2 linked regions of the Tamandua tetradactyla genome follow. The protein of the gene in region 1 interacts with the protein of each later gene in a pairwise test. Links are inferred from orthologs where the notes say so. Each region holds a gene or a part of one and is shown in the gene's direction. Other genes may lie near its edges.

Evidence for each region. The genes of interacting proteins can lie anywhere in the genome.
Region 2: the proteins of TARBP2 (region 1) and ZNF346 interact in binary tests that used the Homo sapiens proteins (3 or more experiments, as listed by UniProt). The two-hybrid records come from large-scale screens. The link is inferred for Tamandua tetradactyla from reciprocal best matches to the Homo sapiens genes TARBP2 and ZNF346.

Annotation. Positions count from the first base shown.
Region 1 is NC_135333.1:114,947,813-114,955,229, forward strand, and holds the start of TARBP2 (RISC-loading complex subunit TARBP2), read left to right. Parts: upstream 1-4,410; 5' UTR 4,411-4,641; coding exon 4,642-4,879; intron 4,880-5,645; coding exon 5,646-5,781; intron 5,782-6,411; coding exon 6,412-6,507; intron 6,508-6,839; exon of another isoform or gene 6,840-7,083; coding exon 7,084-7,156; exon of another isoform or gene 7,157-7,404; coding exon 7,405-7,417. UniProt on the Homo sapiens protein: Required for formation of the RNA induced silencing complex (RISC). Component of the RISC loading complex (RLC), also known as the micro-RNA (miRNA) loading complex (miRLC), which is composed of DICER1, AGO2 and TARBP2.
Region 2 is NC_135346.1:58,692,346-58,699,578, forward strand, and holds the start of ZNF346 (zinc finger protein 346), read left to right. Parts: upstream 1-4,233; 5' UTR 4,234-4,565; coding exon 4,566-5,079; intron 5,080-5,378; coding exon 5,379-5,465; intron 5,466-7,233.

The DNA of each region.
Region 1 (7,417 bases):
TGAAAACTGCCAAACAAGTAACAGTGGGTTCTTTATAAATGTTGAGTTCCCTTCCATTCTTTCCTTTTCCCTCCTCAAAGCAAGAGGTAGTAGGTTGAGTACAAATAGAAAGGGAAGCAGAGAAGCAAGAAGGAGAAAAAAAGGAGAGCAAAGAAAACAGAAAGCAAAGGGCGAGACGCTTCATCCCCAAGAGCCTTCTCCTCTGGAATAGTGTTATTGCCTCTCCTTGCCCCTTCCTTCAAAACACATATGACCCTACTCCTTCTGGGAGCAAATGAACCAGACAGACCAATCTGTGGCTAACCCCTCACCCTCAGGAAGCCTCTAGGTTTCCTGTTGGCATCACTTCAGTTCATTCCTCCTGTAGGGGTCGATTCCCTTAGCCTTTCTTTCTTCCCAGACCCGTGCAGTGGAGAGGCAGTGCATAGGATGAGCCACTAGGAGTGCCTAGGATGGGGGGTACTAGAACTTAGGGTCCTCTTCTTGGCAAAGCCATACTCTACCACATTATCACCACCAGGGGAAGGACTAGGGAACAGCAACTGTTTTTGTTTGTTTGTTTTTATTATAGTAAAAATATTATAGTATATTTAGATACACAACCTAAAACTTCCCCTTTTAACAACATTCAAATATACAATTCACTAGTGTTAACTACATTCACAACGCTGTACTACCATCAGCACCATCCATTAGGCAATTGGTTTTCTGAGGGGTTCAGCCATTCTCAGCTATAAGGAGGCCTGGGAAATCCTCAGACACTTTCTTACTTAGGCTCCCTGCCTCTTCTGCCCATAACTGAGTTTAATCAGGGGACAGATATTTAGCTGTGTATTCCCATGTTGTGCTGGGAGTTGGGGTATCAGAACAGCGTTCTTCCCTGTATCACCTTAGTCCCCAATGTGAGTGAATGAGTGAGTGGTTTTCTTGAGAGGACAGACACTGTTTTTCACCTTTAAATGTGGGATAGGAGGTAGCAGGGCCCTAAAGACAAGAGGAACTTCACTTTCTAGGCAGGGAGGCCCAGGGGGCACTTGGGCCCCATCCTTCCAACTCCTTCTTTTGGCCTCTGGTTGATAAGACGTTTGGAATGATGCTCATGCTCCCAGAGTTATTGGAATTGGAAGGGCAATGGTGTTTTGAGGAAGTCATTGACTGTGTCCTGAGAGGAGTTTGGGTGTAGTGATCTTATGTGTATTCCCTCCTTGTTGGAGGCTACCCACCCAACCTCCTCCCAAGAGGTACCAGATATCTGAGATAAAAAGTGGATACCTTCCTCAGTTCTAAGGGACACCCACTATTTCATATTTCCTCCCCCGTCTATAGAGCCACTGACTGCTTCTCTTACCTCCCCTCAACCAAGGCCATGGATATCCGGAGTTTCAACTCTATGGAAAGGATTCTTACTTATATTTAAGCCAAAGAGTTTGAGGAGAGTGTGGGAAAAGGAAGGGTGGGCCTGGAGATAGGTTAGGGAGCCAGAGGAGATGGGGAAGAGGAGGAGGGGAAAAAGCCACATATGGATGGGGGAGGGGAGGATTCAACATCTGGATGGAGAAGAGAAGATGAATGCCACAGCTGGAGGGGATTGGGGACCAATGCCTGGGCATCCAGGAACAGGTGCTCTCTGCCTACCACACACTTAGTCCAAGCCAAGTGTGTGTGTAGGGACCAGCGGGGGGTAAAGGAGGGCAGTGGGTACATGGGGCTTTAACCTTCCTTTCCTTCTCAGCAGGGTCCCAAACTCACCCTCCTCTTTTCCTCTCTCCCTTCCTGAAGATGAGTGGGAGGAGAGAAGGATGTTCTCTTGCCCACTGTCCTTTAAGTCTGTCCCACAATCATTTCTCACCCCACCCCTCCACCATATAGTCCATTATAGCTCATGAAGCCTTTGGTCTCCAAGCTGGGCCTGCCGTGACGCTCCGCTCGGACCCCCTTCTTCCCAACCACACAGGCGTCGGGTACAGGCCCCCGGTCCCTCCATTCCCACAGCCTCAGCATCCCCGCGCCATGGCTCTCACCCCCTACCCCACCCCTGCCCCGCCACATCTGCATTTCCACCCTCCCTTTGCACCCGGATCCCAGAACCCTATCCCATCCCTGCCCCCTACCCCCCATAACTCGGCCAGGCTCTCACCTCGGGGGCTCGGCGGCCGCAGCACAAAAGGCGGCGCTGCTGCAGCTCTGCTCCGGATGCTGCTCCCGCCTCCTCCTCCTTCTCCTCCTCCTTCCCTCCTCCCCCCGCTGCCCTCGACCGGGCCCGGGGCGCTGTCACAGGCGATGCTCGTACGGTGCACGGATGTCAGCCCCAGCTTTGTGCCCCCACCCCCCGACCCTAGCCCCGTCCCCACTCGGCTCGAACTCCCGCTCCTTCTAGGGCCCCCGCCCCTGGCCCCCCGGGACGGACACGCCCTGAGCGGGGGATGCTGCGCTGGAGCCGCCGGCCTCTTAAAGGAGCCCGCTGTTGCCATCCGGCGCGCTCCAGGCTCATCCCCGGCTCTTCTGGGCCCCGCGCCTTCTGGCTGATGGTATGGTAGGGCCGTCGCACCCTGGGCTTGATGCTGATTCTGTGGGAGCCTCCTGTTAACTCCCTCCTATAGTCGAAAACAGAAACAGTAACCCCTTAGGTGGGGCCAGAGTTATGGGGTAGTTACCCCGGCTCTCCTTTTCTTAATTGACGCAAATCCGATTCCACCCAACTCTGCGCGCCTCAGTTCTAGGCCCGGTACTCCTCCAGTATTCCCAGATGACTTCTCATTACCATTCCAAGTTTACTCTGGACCTCCAACCCTGCTCAAATCAAGACATCTCTTTCCTGACTTATTCCCAGAACACTCAGAGCCTATTTATTTATTTTGGGGTGCTCTTTCTCTCCAAGGTCACAAGATTTTCCCTATACCTATCAGTCCAGTGGTTTTGAGACTTTGGGAAGGGGAGAACGGGGCTCTGGAATTCAAAATTTTGGGTTCTGCTGTGTATCCAGATTAGTCGATTGGTTTTAAGAAGCTAGATTCCTCTTTTGCTTTCCTTCATCTGAGAGACCCAAGTCCCGGCAGAGGGAGTGAGACCACCAGGTGTCATCCCACTACAGCCCGATTCACAGGCCCCAGAAGGGTTTTCCCGGCCAGTTAGAGACAGCCTCACTAGGACCGTTCTAAAAAGGCTTTGGAAGAAAAGCGAAGCTCCATATACTGTGGACAGAACTAAACTGAAGAAGTGAGCTGAAGGACAAACCCAGGGAAAGGAAACAGGTTCTGCGAGACGAAGGCCCATGGGCCAGAGTTTTAGGCCGAGGCGCTGAGGAGAGAAAGTCTTAGAGGAACTTGTACTACAACTTCCTCAGCTTCTCGGGTGCGTAGGGAGCAGAGAGCAGCCCCCACCCGACGTCCAGGCAAAACCCACCCTCCAGACCGCAAAAAGCCAGCAACAGACAGCACCCTTATCCCCGGACCAATCATTGCCTTTCCTCAAGAAAACGCGAGGTCAAGGGGCCCGGCTCTGGCCATGTCCCCACCCCTCTAGGAAAAGTAACCAATCTCAATCCGTCTGTGGGGGGAACGCAACTGGGAATAACCAATTACGCGGCGAAGCTTCTAGTGCGTGTAGAACCTGCCCCTCCAGTTGCGACAAAGATGGCGCAGAAGTTCCTGGGTTCTGTAGTTTTCGGAATTGAAAAGACTCGGGTTTTCAAGTTAGCTCTTACCGCCCGGCCCCCAGCTCCTTCTACTCAGCTGGTGCGCATGTCCAAAACCTCAAGGTGTATGGGAGAGGAGGCGCGGAAGATAGGAGGCGGGACAATAAAAAACAAAAACAAACAAACAAACAAAACTCAGCTCGGGAAGCGACAGCGGAGGAAACAGCTCCTCCCAGAAGGCGGTGCAGCCTGCCAGGGCAAACCACGCGAAGGGTTGTGGGTGGATAGCTGCCCTCCTTATGGAGACGCATGGAGTAGGATGGGCGGGGGGACTTCAAGTCCCAGCATGCCCTGCGGCGGGCCCTACCGGCCGCGACTCCGGGCTTGGCCCCGGCCCTAGCTTGTCAGCGGTGTATTGGGGCGCGTGGAGGCTGTAGCTATAGTGGAGCCCGCGGGGACGGAGGAGGGAATGAGTGAAGAGGAGCAGGGCTCCGGCACTACCACGGGCTGCGGGCTGCCCAGGTAAGTCACCTTGTACCGATCCCTACAGGATGAAAAGACTGGCGCGGTGCGGAGGGGGTAGCCGCGCGGCCCCAGCATGCACCTGGCCTGAGGGTTGTTCCCGGTAAGCACTGGGGCAGTGAGCAGCGGTTACCGGCGTGCACCGGGGCAGTGGCCACTACCTCCAGGTCTAAATAGTTTGGTGTTGGCTTGGTTCCCAGACTGCACTGGGGCACTGGGCATTGTGCTCCCGACATTCAGTGCATTTGGTGGGTACTGGGTTCCTGGCCTGCACTGTGGCAGGGGACATGCACTTCCAGCCTTCGCTGGGGTACAAGATCTCCCGCCTTAACTGAGACAGGAACAGTGCATCCCCCTCCTACCGTGGGGAAGTGAACTCTGCTTTCCCAGCCTGCACCTCTACTTTTTATTGAACTCAGCCAACGGTTGCCGTATTGCACAGGGTTCTCTGGACCCTGTGCCCCCATAATGTACCTGGGTTTGGTATGGCAGTGCTTGGCCAGGTGGGTGGAGGGAGGGAAGATGTGATACGGGTCTGTGCGCCTCCCTCCAGTATAGAGCAAATGCTGGCAGCCAACCCGGGCAAGACCCCGATCAGCCTTCTGCAGGAGTATGGGACCAGAATAGGGAAGACACCCGTGTACGACCTTCTCAAAGCCGAGGGCCAAGCTCACCAGCCTAATTTCACCTTCCGGGTCACCGTTGGCGACACCAGCTGCACTGGTGAGGAAGACTTGGGCGGCCTGGCTGGGGTGTGCATTTATAGGGCCCCATGGCTTTGTTTCTTGGAGTCACTTCCCAGTCCTCTTCTCCAAGGCTAGTGAAAGGAGAGATTTGAGGCGAGAAGTTACTGAGTGGCTTGGGAGAACAGGGCTTAAAGAGGTGGGATAGGACTTGGAGAGTTGGAGAGAATAGGACTGCTACAGTGATCTGGCAACTCCTCTCACACTTGAGGAAGATGTAAGAGGAAATAAACCTAAATTGCAATAAGGATCTGGGGGAGGGAGTGCCTCTTATTCCCAGGTGCTTAATCACATACCCATTTAATCTTAAACTTCACTTAACCCCATGATGTAGATGGTAATATCACCATGTTATATAAGAGGAAACAAGCTCAGAAGAGAGATAATATGACTGGTGCAAGATCACATACCTAAGCAGTGGCAGAGCTGGGTTTTGACTCCAGAACCTGTCCTCTTTCTGTTTTTCCACCTATTTTGATTTGAGGGAAAAGAAAGGGCTTTCATGAGTTAAGAAAGGCAGAAAAAAGGATCTCTCCACTCAAGGTGTTTGAGCCCAGGAAAAGTTCTGCTTGGCAAGGTTTGACTTCTGTCTGGGAGTTAATGGATGAGTAGGGCCCTACCTTCCAGTAATTAGTGTAACACTTCCAATCTTGGGCATAGGAAGGTTGGTTAGAGGGGCTTGGTTGACTTCCTCTGGCTGTGAGGAGAGAGGTTGTGGGATGCTGGTTTCTTTTCTGTCCTTTCAGTGACCTCCAGTATTGCCCACACCCCTCTCTCAGGTCAGGGCCCCAGCAAGAAGGCAGCCAAGCACAAGGCAGCTGAGGTGGCCCTCAAACACCTCAAAGGGGGGAGCATGCTGGAGCCGGCCCTGGAAGACAGCAGGTGAGGGAGGAACAGCTGAGGCATCCTAGACGCCCTGCCCCAACCCCTTCTGCCCAGTAGGCTATCCTCTCCTGGCTTCTTCATAAGAATTTTCTCTAAACCCGAATAGAATGTTTCCAGGGTTTCTGCTGCTGTGAAGGATTCTGGGTGGGGGTGGGGTGGGGTGGTGGCCCAGCCTCATTAGAGGTTGTGGCCTTAGTTTGGGACCCCAGTGAGGGAAGGAGAAGGGAGGAAGCTGAGGCTGGAGGTAGTTACTCCCCAACCTGTCTCTTATTTAGCAAGATGTCCTTCCCTCTTCCACACTCTGGTTGGAGTTTGTTGCCCCCAGGATCCTTCTCCCCCTTTTCCCAGTCCTTTTTTTTTTTCTTCCCTGGGTGCATGGTCTGGGAATCAAACCTGGGTCTCCTGCATGGCAGACGAGAATTATATCACTGAACCATCTGTGTACCCCTTCCCAGTCCTTTTGATTTAGTCTTTAACAGGAGAAAGATGGTGGTTGAGCTTCCCCAAGTCTTTGGTTCAAGTGGGAAGGTGCTCTCCTAAGGGATGGGCAGGTCAAGAGGATCTTCCTTCACCCTCCATTTCTTCTACACATGGATGTGAATCAAAGGCTCCCTTCCCCTCGGGAAGTTCTTTTTCTCCCCTAGACTCTTCACTGCCTGAGGACGTTCTGGTTTTCACTGCTGCAGCTGCTGCAACTCCTGTTCCATCTGCTGTCCCAACAAGGTATCTTGTGTCCCTTGACTGCCTGAAGTGGGGAGGAAGGGCTTCTGGCTCCCGGCCTCCTGACCCTTGGTCTTAGGCTGGTCAGGCATGAGGAAGTCTGAGTGTAAACAAAGAAATATTTGGGAACCAGAGCTTGAAGAGTTTACACCAGCTGGTAAGCTCTTGGGACAGGAGGTAACTTATTATTTTTTAAATTGCCATGTGGATGATGTTGGACCACGTTTAAGGGTTTCTTCTGGGGTTGGCTACATGATAGCTCCATGTTTGAGTCCCATCAGGTGTTTCTGGGAACTGAATATACACCCCTCTTCCCGTCCTGGTAAGATGATGCCTGAGCGTACCAGAATCTATATAGGGCTGGGAGATAGAGAAGGCTTCCCTTGGGTGGGAGGGGGAAAACAGGTTAGAGTAGGAGGGTGTAAGGCTAGACGTTTGGACAGACACTGCTTGCCTTGCCTTGTGGGGAATAGGGAGAACATAGTGAAAGAAACTAAAGCAGTGGTTAGGACCTGCATCATGGGCAGTTGCAGAAGGAACCATATTCCTCAGCTTTGGCCCTGGGCCTTTTTCCTTCAGGAGCCCGTCCATGGAGGTGCAGCCCCCTGTCTCCCCTCAGCAGTCTGAATGCAACCCTGTTGGCGCTTTGCAGGTGTGCCTTCATCCTTATTTCTTCTGCATGCCTGTCTTTCCTGAACCAAGGGAAGGTTGTGTGTGTTTGTGAGTGGGGGAGGCAGTTACCCTGTACTGAGGGCTTTTTTCACCACACACCCCCCTTTATCCCATCTCTAACCTAGAGCCTGAGGCTTTTGGGGCATGAGGGAGAGTGGAAACCAGCATGGATAAGGATAAATCTTTGTTTATTCAACCTTGCACACCCATTTCTCTACCTCTTCCAAGGAGCTGGTAGTGC
Region 2 (7,233 bases), on another chromosome or scaffold:
CTACAGTTTTCCTCAGGAGTACCCCTGCTGTTTTGGATCAGTCTCAGGTTCAGAGTCAAACACAACGTCCTACTAGTAAAACCGAATCCTTGGCCACCTCTAACAACTAGAGAAAGTTGTTCCTGGAGCTAAGTAGAAAGCCTCAGATGGGGCAACCCAGATACCCTCCATGAGTCCTACACTGCAGATTCATTGCCCCACCCCATCTGCACTGCCTAGGTTGTCACCCCTACTACAGCAGCTAGCACACACTCTGATATTACGTAAATAGTGGATACTTTTCTCTCTCTCACAAGAGTTTAATCTCCCTGACAGCAGGAATTATAATTTACTAAACTGTGGAGCATGAATTTGCATGTATGCACACAGAGGCAGTGTTTACTCATTTGAAATGTCTGCGGAACTGTGGCACAGCCTTTTCCTTGGGATTGTTCATGTCCCATACCAACAATCACCGTAGAGCATATTGGAAAATGGTTCTCACCTCCACAGGGAAGAAGTAAAAAGCCAGCCGGACAAAACCAAGGCATCACCTGTACTGTCAGGTCCCAGCAAGGGGACCAGACGTGGGCACTTATATTAAGGACAAAGCAGAAAACAGGCGACAGTGAGATCTGTTCAGACACTCAGTTTTGTAACTACGGGCACAGAGGACGAACCCTGAAGGCATTCATTGGAGAATAAATGGAAATTATTTTGAGCATTTAATTGGATTGCGACAGGGAGAAGGGAGATTGTTTTCCAATAATACGCACAGCAACTTAAATATTTCCCTCCCAAGATTTACTTCACAGTGTTCTATATAAATACTCTTGTGGGTTCTAAGACTTGAACAAAAATACCCTCTATCCTTTGAGCATTTTTTAGCTGAATAATTTGTGCTGTGCAAATAAGGGTAGTTAGAACTCTCCTTTAAGATAGGAATACATAGTTACTGACTTTTATTTATTTATACACTGATCTTCGGGTGTAACAAAAGAACACGGATTTGCAGTCTGAGGACCAGTGCTCAAGCACAGTCACTAACTAGTTGTATGACCCTGATAAAACCTTCACCTTTTCCAGTCTATTTCCTCATTTGTCAAATATGAAAATAATTCCCAATAGGAAAACATCCCCATTATTAAATATTTTATGTCAAAGGTGTTTTATAAACTGTAAAATACTGCACAAACCTCACTCATTTATTGCCTTGGGAGCTCTGGAGCCTGGCATGAAACCTGATATAGAACTTGTGAACAATATTTATAGAATATTTGAGTAAATTCCATTGGCAAGCTGTGTGATACCAGGCAAGGAGAATAATCTGTATCTGTCTCTCCTTGGCCTCCTCTGATGCTACTTTCCCATTGTTCTCTGTACTGCAGCCATCCTTTCCTTTCCTTCAAAACACCAAGCTCACTCTTGCCTCAGGGCTTTTGCACATGCTGTTCCTTCTTCCTGGAACTGTTCCCAGTTCTTTACATTGCAAACTCATTTTATCAATAAGGTCAATGATCAATTGTCTTTTTTTTAGAGGCTTCCCCAAACAATCTTTCTAATGTTCTTCCCACATCATTCACCTAATTTCTATCCCTGTTTTATTTTTTCCTTAGCACTTATTTCTATCTAAAAATGATTTTACCTGTTAACTTGTTTATTGCATTGTCCTCCACTAGTATTCCAATGCTCAAAACATCACCTAGCTTATTATAAACACTCAACAAACATTTGAATAAATGAGGTTAAAAACTTGATTCAACAAATACTTTGTATATACCTACTATGGGCCAGGCTTTGTTTCAACATACTGAAGACTGGATGATAACAAAATAAAATATCTGCCTTCCTGGGGCTTACCTTCTAAAGAGGAGACAAACAATAAACAAGATAAAAATAAAATATATGCTATGTCTAATAAGTTTGGTGGCACCTAAAAAAGTTAAGCATAGAATTACCATATGATCCAGTAATTCCACTCCCAGGTTATGTGCCCAAAAAATTGAAAATAGGGACTCAAATAGATACTCGCATGCCAGTGTTCCATAACAGCATTATTCACAATAGAAAAGTATCTATCAACAGATGAATAAACAAAATGTGGTCTGTCCATACAATGGCCTATTATTCTGCCATAAAATGGAATGAAGTAAATAGTGTATGATTCCACTCATATTAAATATCTAGAATAAGCAAATTCATAGAGACAGACAAGTAAATTAGAAGTTACCAGGGGCTGGCTGGAAGAGGAGGCAAGGGGGAGTTATTGCATAATGAGTACAGAGTTTCTGCTTGGTGTGACAGAAAAGTTTTGGTAATGAATGTTGGCGACGGTAGCACAACATTGTGAATGTAATTAAAGTCACTGAATTGTGTCATGAGAATGGTTAAAATGTCAAGTTTTACGTTATTTATATGCTACCAAAATAAAATTTAACACACGCACTGTAGTTAATAAGTGTTTGGGAGAAAAAAAATAAAGCAGGAAAAGTTTAGACAGGGTAGCTAGGGAAGGAAGGAAGGAACTGAGTCAAACAGTTATCTGTGGAAAAAATGCATTCAACAAGGCTAGTGCCACTACAACAGGAAGGAAGGAGGTGGGGGCTGAGATGAAATCAAGGAAATTCAGGGAAGTCAGATTGCCTGGGGCTTTGTGGGTCAAAGTCAGGACTTTGGATTTTACAAAGAGCGAAATGGGAAGCCACTGGATGATCTGAGCACGGTCTTGCTGTGATGTGGCTTGTTACAAGAGGATGCCTGAGAGTACTGACCAGAATACCTGAGAGGCAAAGGGAATAATCGACTGAGTTTGACTACAGCAATAACCTAGACAAGAAATGATGGCTCCAGAAGAATGGGGTAGGGGCAAGTCTGGGATTGGAAGGCAAGATTTTGGGTTTGCATAAGTACACGGAACTGGAGTAGGGCATACGATTTTGTAGGTTTGTCCAGAGTTATGCTCCAATAAATCTCAGAGCGATTTGAACAGTGAGTAAAAAAGTATTTGCAAAGTTCCCTTGGCAAGAAAGGGTTCAACTTCCCCAAGTGGAGAATTCTTAATTTTCTCACAAGCACTGGGGACAACCAAAGCAATAGGCTGAGTCCCAATCCGGGGGTTTGTTCATATGAAACTTAACCCCACAAAGGATAGGTCAAGCCTACTTAAAATTAGGCCTAAGAGTCACCCCCAAAAGAACCTCTTTAGCTGCTTAGATGTGCCTCTCTCTTCAGCCAGCACAACAAGCAAACTCACCACCCTCCCCCTGTCTACATGGGACATGACTCCCAGGGGTGTGGACCTTCCTGGCAACGTGGGACAGAAATCCTAGAATGAGCTGGGACTCAGCATCAAGGGATTGAGAAAACCTTCTCCACCAAAAGGGGGAAGAGTGAAATGAGACAAAGTGTCACTGGCTGAGAGATTCCAAACAGTTGAGAGGTTATCCTGGAGGTTATTCTTACGCATTAAGTAGATATCACCTTGTTATTCAAGATGTAATGGAGAGGCTGGAGGAAACTGCCTGAAAATGTAGAGCTGTGTTCCAGTAGCCATGTATCGTGAAGATGATTGTATAATGATACAGCTTTCACAATGTGACTGTGATTGTGAAAACCTTGTGTCTGATGCTCCTTTTATCTACCTTATCAACAGATGAGTAAAACATATGGAATAAAGATGAATAATAGGCGAACAAATGTTAGAATAAATTTAGATTGAAATACTGCTGATCTTTGAGGGGGAGGGTGGGGGGTATGGTATGTATGAATTTTTTTCTGTTTTCCTTTTATTTCTTTTTTTGAATAGATGCAAATGTTCCAAGAAATGATCATGGTGATGAATATGCAACTATGTGATGATATTGTGAATTACTGATTACATATGTAGAACGGAATGATCGTATGTTAAGAATGTTTGTGTTTGTCATATTTTTTTAAAAATTAATTTTAAAAATTAAAAAAAAAAGATTTTGGGTTTGGACAGTCATGTTGAAGAAGCCTATTAAATTCCCCAAACGGAAATGTCAAGCCGGCACCTTGGATATACAGCTCTGGACTTCAGGGCTAGGTCTGGGCCCTAGGAGTTGGCACTCTGAACTCCACAAATGGGATCTATTATCAGCAGTAATTGAATCACGGAGACGGAGCACCGGCTTCAAGACTTCCTAGCAGCGAAGACGGAGGACCGGCTTTAGGACTTCCTAGCAGCGGAGACGGAGGACCGGCTTCCGGACTTCCTAGCAGCGGAGACGGAGGACCGGCTTCCGGACTTCCTAGCAGCGGAGACGGAGCGCCGGCTTCAGGACTTCCTAGCAGCGGAGACGGAGCGCCGGCTTCAGGACTTCCTAGCAGCGGAGACGGAGCGCCGGCTTCAGGACTTCCTAGCAGCGGAGACGGAGGACCGGCTTCAGGACTTCCTAGCAGCGGAGACGGAGCACCGGCTTCAGGACTTCCTAGCAGCGGAGACGGAGGACCGGCTTCAGGACTTCCTAGCAGCGGAGACGGAGCGCCGGCTTCAGGACTTCCTAGCAGCGAAGACTAAACTAATCTACTTTCTGGAACTGGGCCTTGGTTTCCCCACCAGCAAAATGGGAGAAATACTCTCACACAACACGGCCTTCGTGAGAACGAAATGCTTAGTGTCAAACTTTGACCACGAACAGGTGAGAACCCAGAGGCACGGACCCCACGAGCTCGTCTCGGAGGGAAAGAACGGCGGCGTCGCAGACGACCGGTTTTCTCCACCACAGAACACGCCCCAAGGCCCGAGAATAAAAGCCAAAGAAACTCCAAGGTTGGCGCCGCTAACCGCTCTGCAGCGCCTAAACCTCGCGAGATTTGTTGGCCGCGTAAAGTCGCTACCGTCCCACATCTCGCGAGACCAAGACGCGTGCGCGGCTCTCGGCCGCTTAGGGCTGGCGGGGAAGATGGAATATTCCGCGTTGGGCACCGTGGAGGCTACGGACGGCGGAGGGGCCGGGCTGTACTACAGCTCGGAAGAGCGGGAGGGCCGGGAGCCGGACGGGGTGCGCTTCGACCGCGAGAGGGCGCGCCGCCTGTGGGAAGCGGTGTCCGGGGCCCAACCGGTGGGGAGGGAGGAAGGTGAGTCCGGGGGCCTGGGAGGCAGGAAGCCCCCCGACCTGCCTGCTCGGCCCGCAGGGCGTGGCGGGAGCGCCGGGCGGGGCCGCAGGCCAGACCTCCGGTCCACGGTCACACCCCCTGGCGCCCGGCCCGCCCCCTGGCGTGACGCTCCCGGGTACTCCCGGGCTCGAGTTCCACATCAGGGATATGGACCCCGTAAGCCAAGGTCTCCGCAACCCAGGTGGCAGGTCCCCGCGCGCAAAAGGCCAAAGGCCTCACATTCAAGCTCCAGGTTTTGTCCCTTCCTCCTCGCCCACCAGTGCAGCTCTTCCCACGCTCGAGGACTGTGGTCCCCATCCACGCTGTCATGGAGCCCCTGACCTTAACGCGCCAGAAGCGCAGCCGAGGCGAGTACCTCTCACCGTTTCCCCCTGACTCCCCACATCCCTTGGCACCAGGTTCCCCTACCCCTAGTTACTCTGCTCCTTCTCTCACCTGGCTTCCCTCGACTCAAACCCGCCTCTGAGGGCTTTTGAAAGCCTTCAACCTTACCCCCATGTTCCTTTTGGCCTCGGTGGCTGAGCCCAGCTTACCCGTGTTTCTAGGTGTCTGGCCTTTACGGAAATGGGGGTCAGGAGCCTGAGCAACTGGCCTGGGTATGCTTTGGCTCCAGCTGCTTTGTACCCCATGCTTGACCCAAAGTGGTGAACAAGAATATACACCAGGCCAGCTTGGGGGTCACCTCTAAGTTGATCCTTACTATTTGGCTCTGCGTTTGACCTAGCAGCTGAAATTAAATGGGAGATGGAAAGAGGACTTAGCGCTAGCCAGGCCTGGCTGTGTGACCTCTTCACAGTTCTTTGCAGAGCTAGCAAGGTAGCTGAAGCCCAAACATACAAAAACATTCTAGGCTGCTGTGCTCATCCTGTCAGGCATGTGCAGGGAAATCGGGTTTCTCTGATAATTTGTTTGCTTGCTCAGCAAGCTAATTTTGCTGTTTGTGAACTGATTGCCCTGATATAAAATTGAATTTTTGACCACATCCAAGGTAGAGGATGTTTAAATTTGGGGTGCTGCACAATCTGTACCCTGGTGTGTACTTCACCAGTTTAAAAAGAAGTCTAGTCTGACTCCTGGATTAATATGTATATTATTTCTGGGCCTCCTGTCTCACTCATCTTTCAAACATTTTTAGTACCAACTAATCCCCGCCCACCTTTTCTTTCATTAATTTGACAAACATTCTCTGATGTCTGCTGTCTTGCAAGGACTGGCTGAGCTCAGAGCTACAGAGATGAGGAAGGTACGGTCTTGTCCTGGAGGAGCTTGCAGTGAGGTCCAGGAAACAGCAATTTCAGTGTAGATAATAGGTGCAGTGAAGAGGAATGTCTAGGAGTTGGGGATGCACAAAGAAAAAGTGATCTTTAGCCTAGGAAGAAAGGGAAGGAAGGCCCTGAACCTTAAAGCGTGGAGAACACAGCAGCTGTGCTCCAAAAAGTAAACTGTATATGTGTGTGTGAGTATACAGTGTAACAAACCAGTTCGTTTTCCTAATCTACTCAGGTCTCCCATATTTATATGCGGTCCAGATAAATACCTGTAACACCAAGCTCTACTCAGTTTGGTCATTTTTTTTTTAACAGCTTTATTGAGTTATAATTTGCAAACCAGAAAATTTTCCCAGTGTAAGTGTACAATTCAATATTTTTAGTAAAGGTATAGTTGTGTAACCATGGCCACAATCCAGTTTTAGAACTTTCTATTATCCTTTATGTTACTTTATGCTCATTTGTAGTAAACCCCATCTCCTGCACTATGCACTCATTGATGTTTTATGGCTCTATAAATTTGCCTTTTGTAGATACTTCATGTAAATGAAGTCGTACAACATGTAGTCTTTTACATCTGGCTTCTTTCACTTAGCATATTTTTGAGGTTCATGTAAGTTGTAGCGTGTATTAGTATACTTCATTCCTTTTTATTGCTGAATAGAATTCCATCACCTGGATGTACCACATTTCATTTATCCATTGCTCAGTTGATGGACATTTGAATTATTTCCAGTTTGGGGCTCTTAGGAATTATGCTGTTATGAACATTTGTGTGCAAATGTTTTTGTGGACATATGTTTATATTTCTGTTGGGTATGTTTCTGGGAGTAGAACTGATGAATCA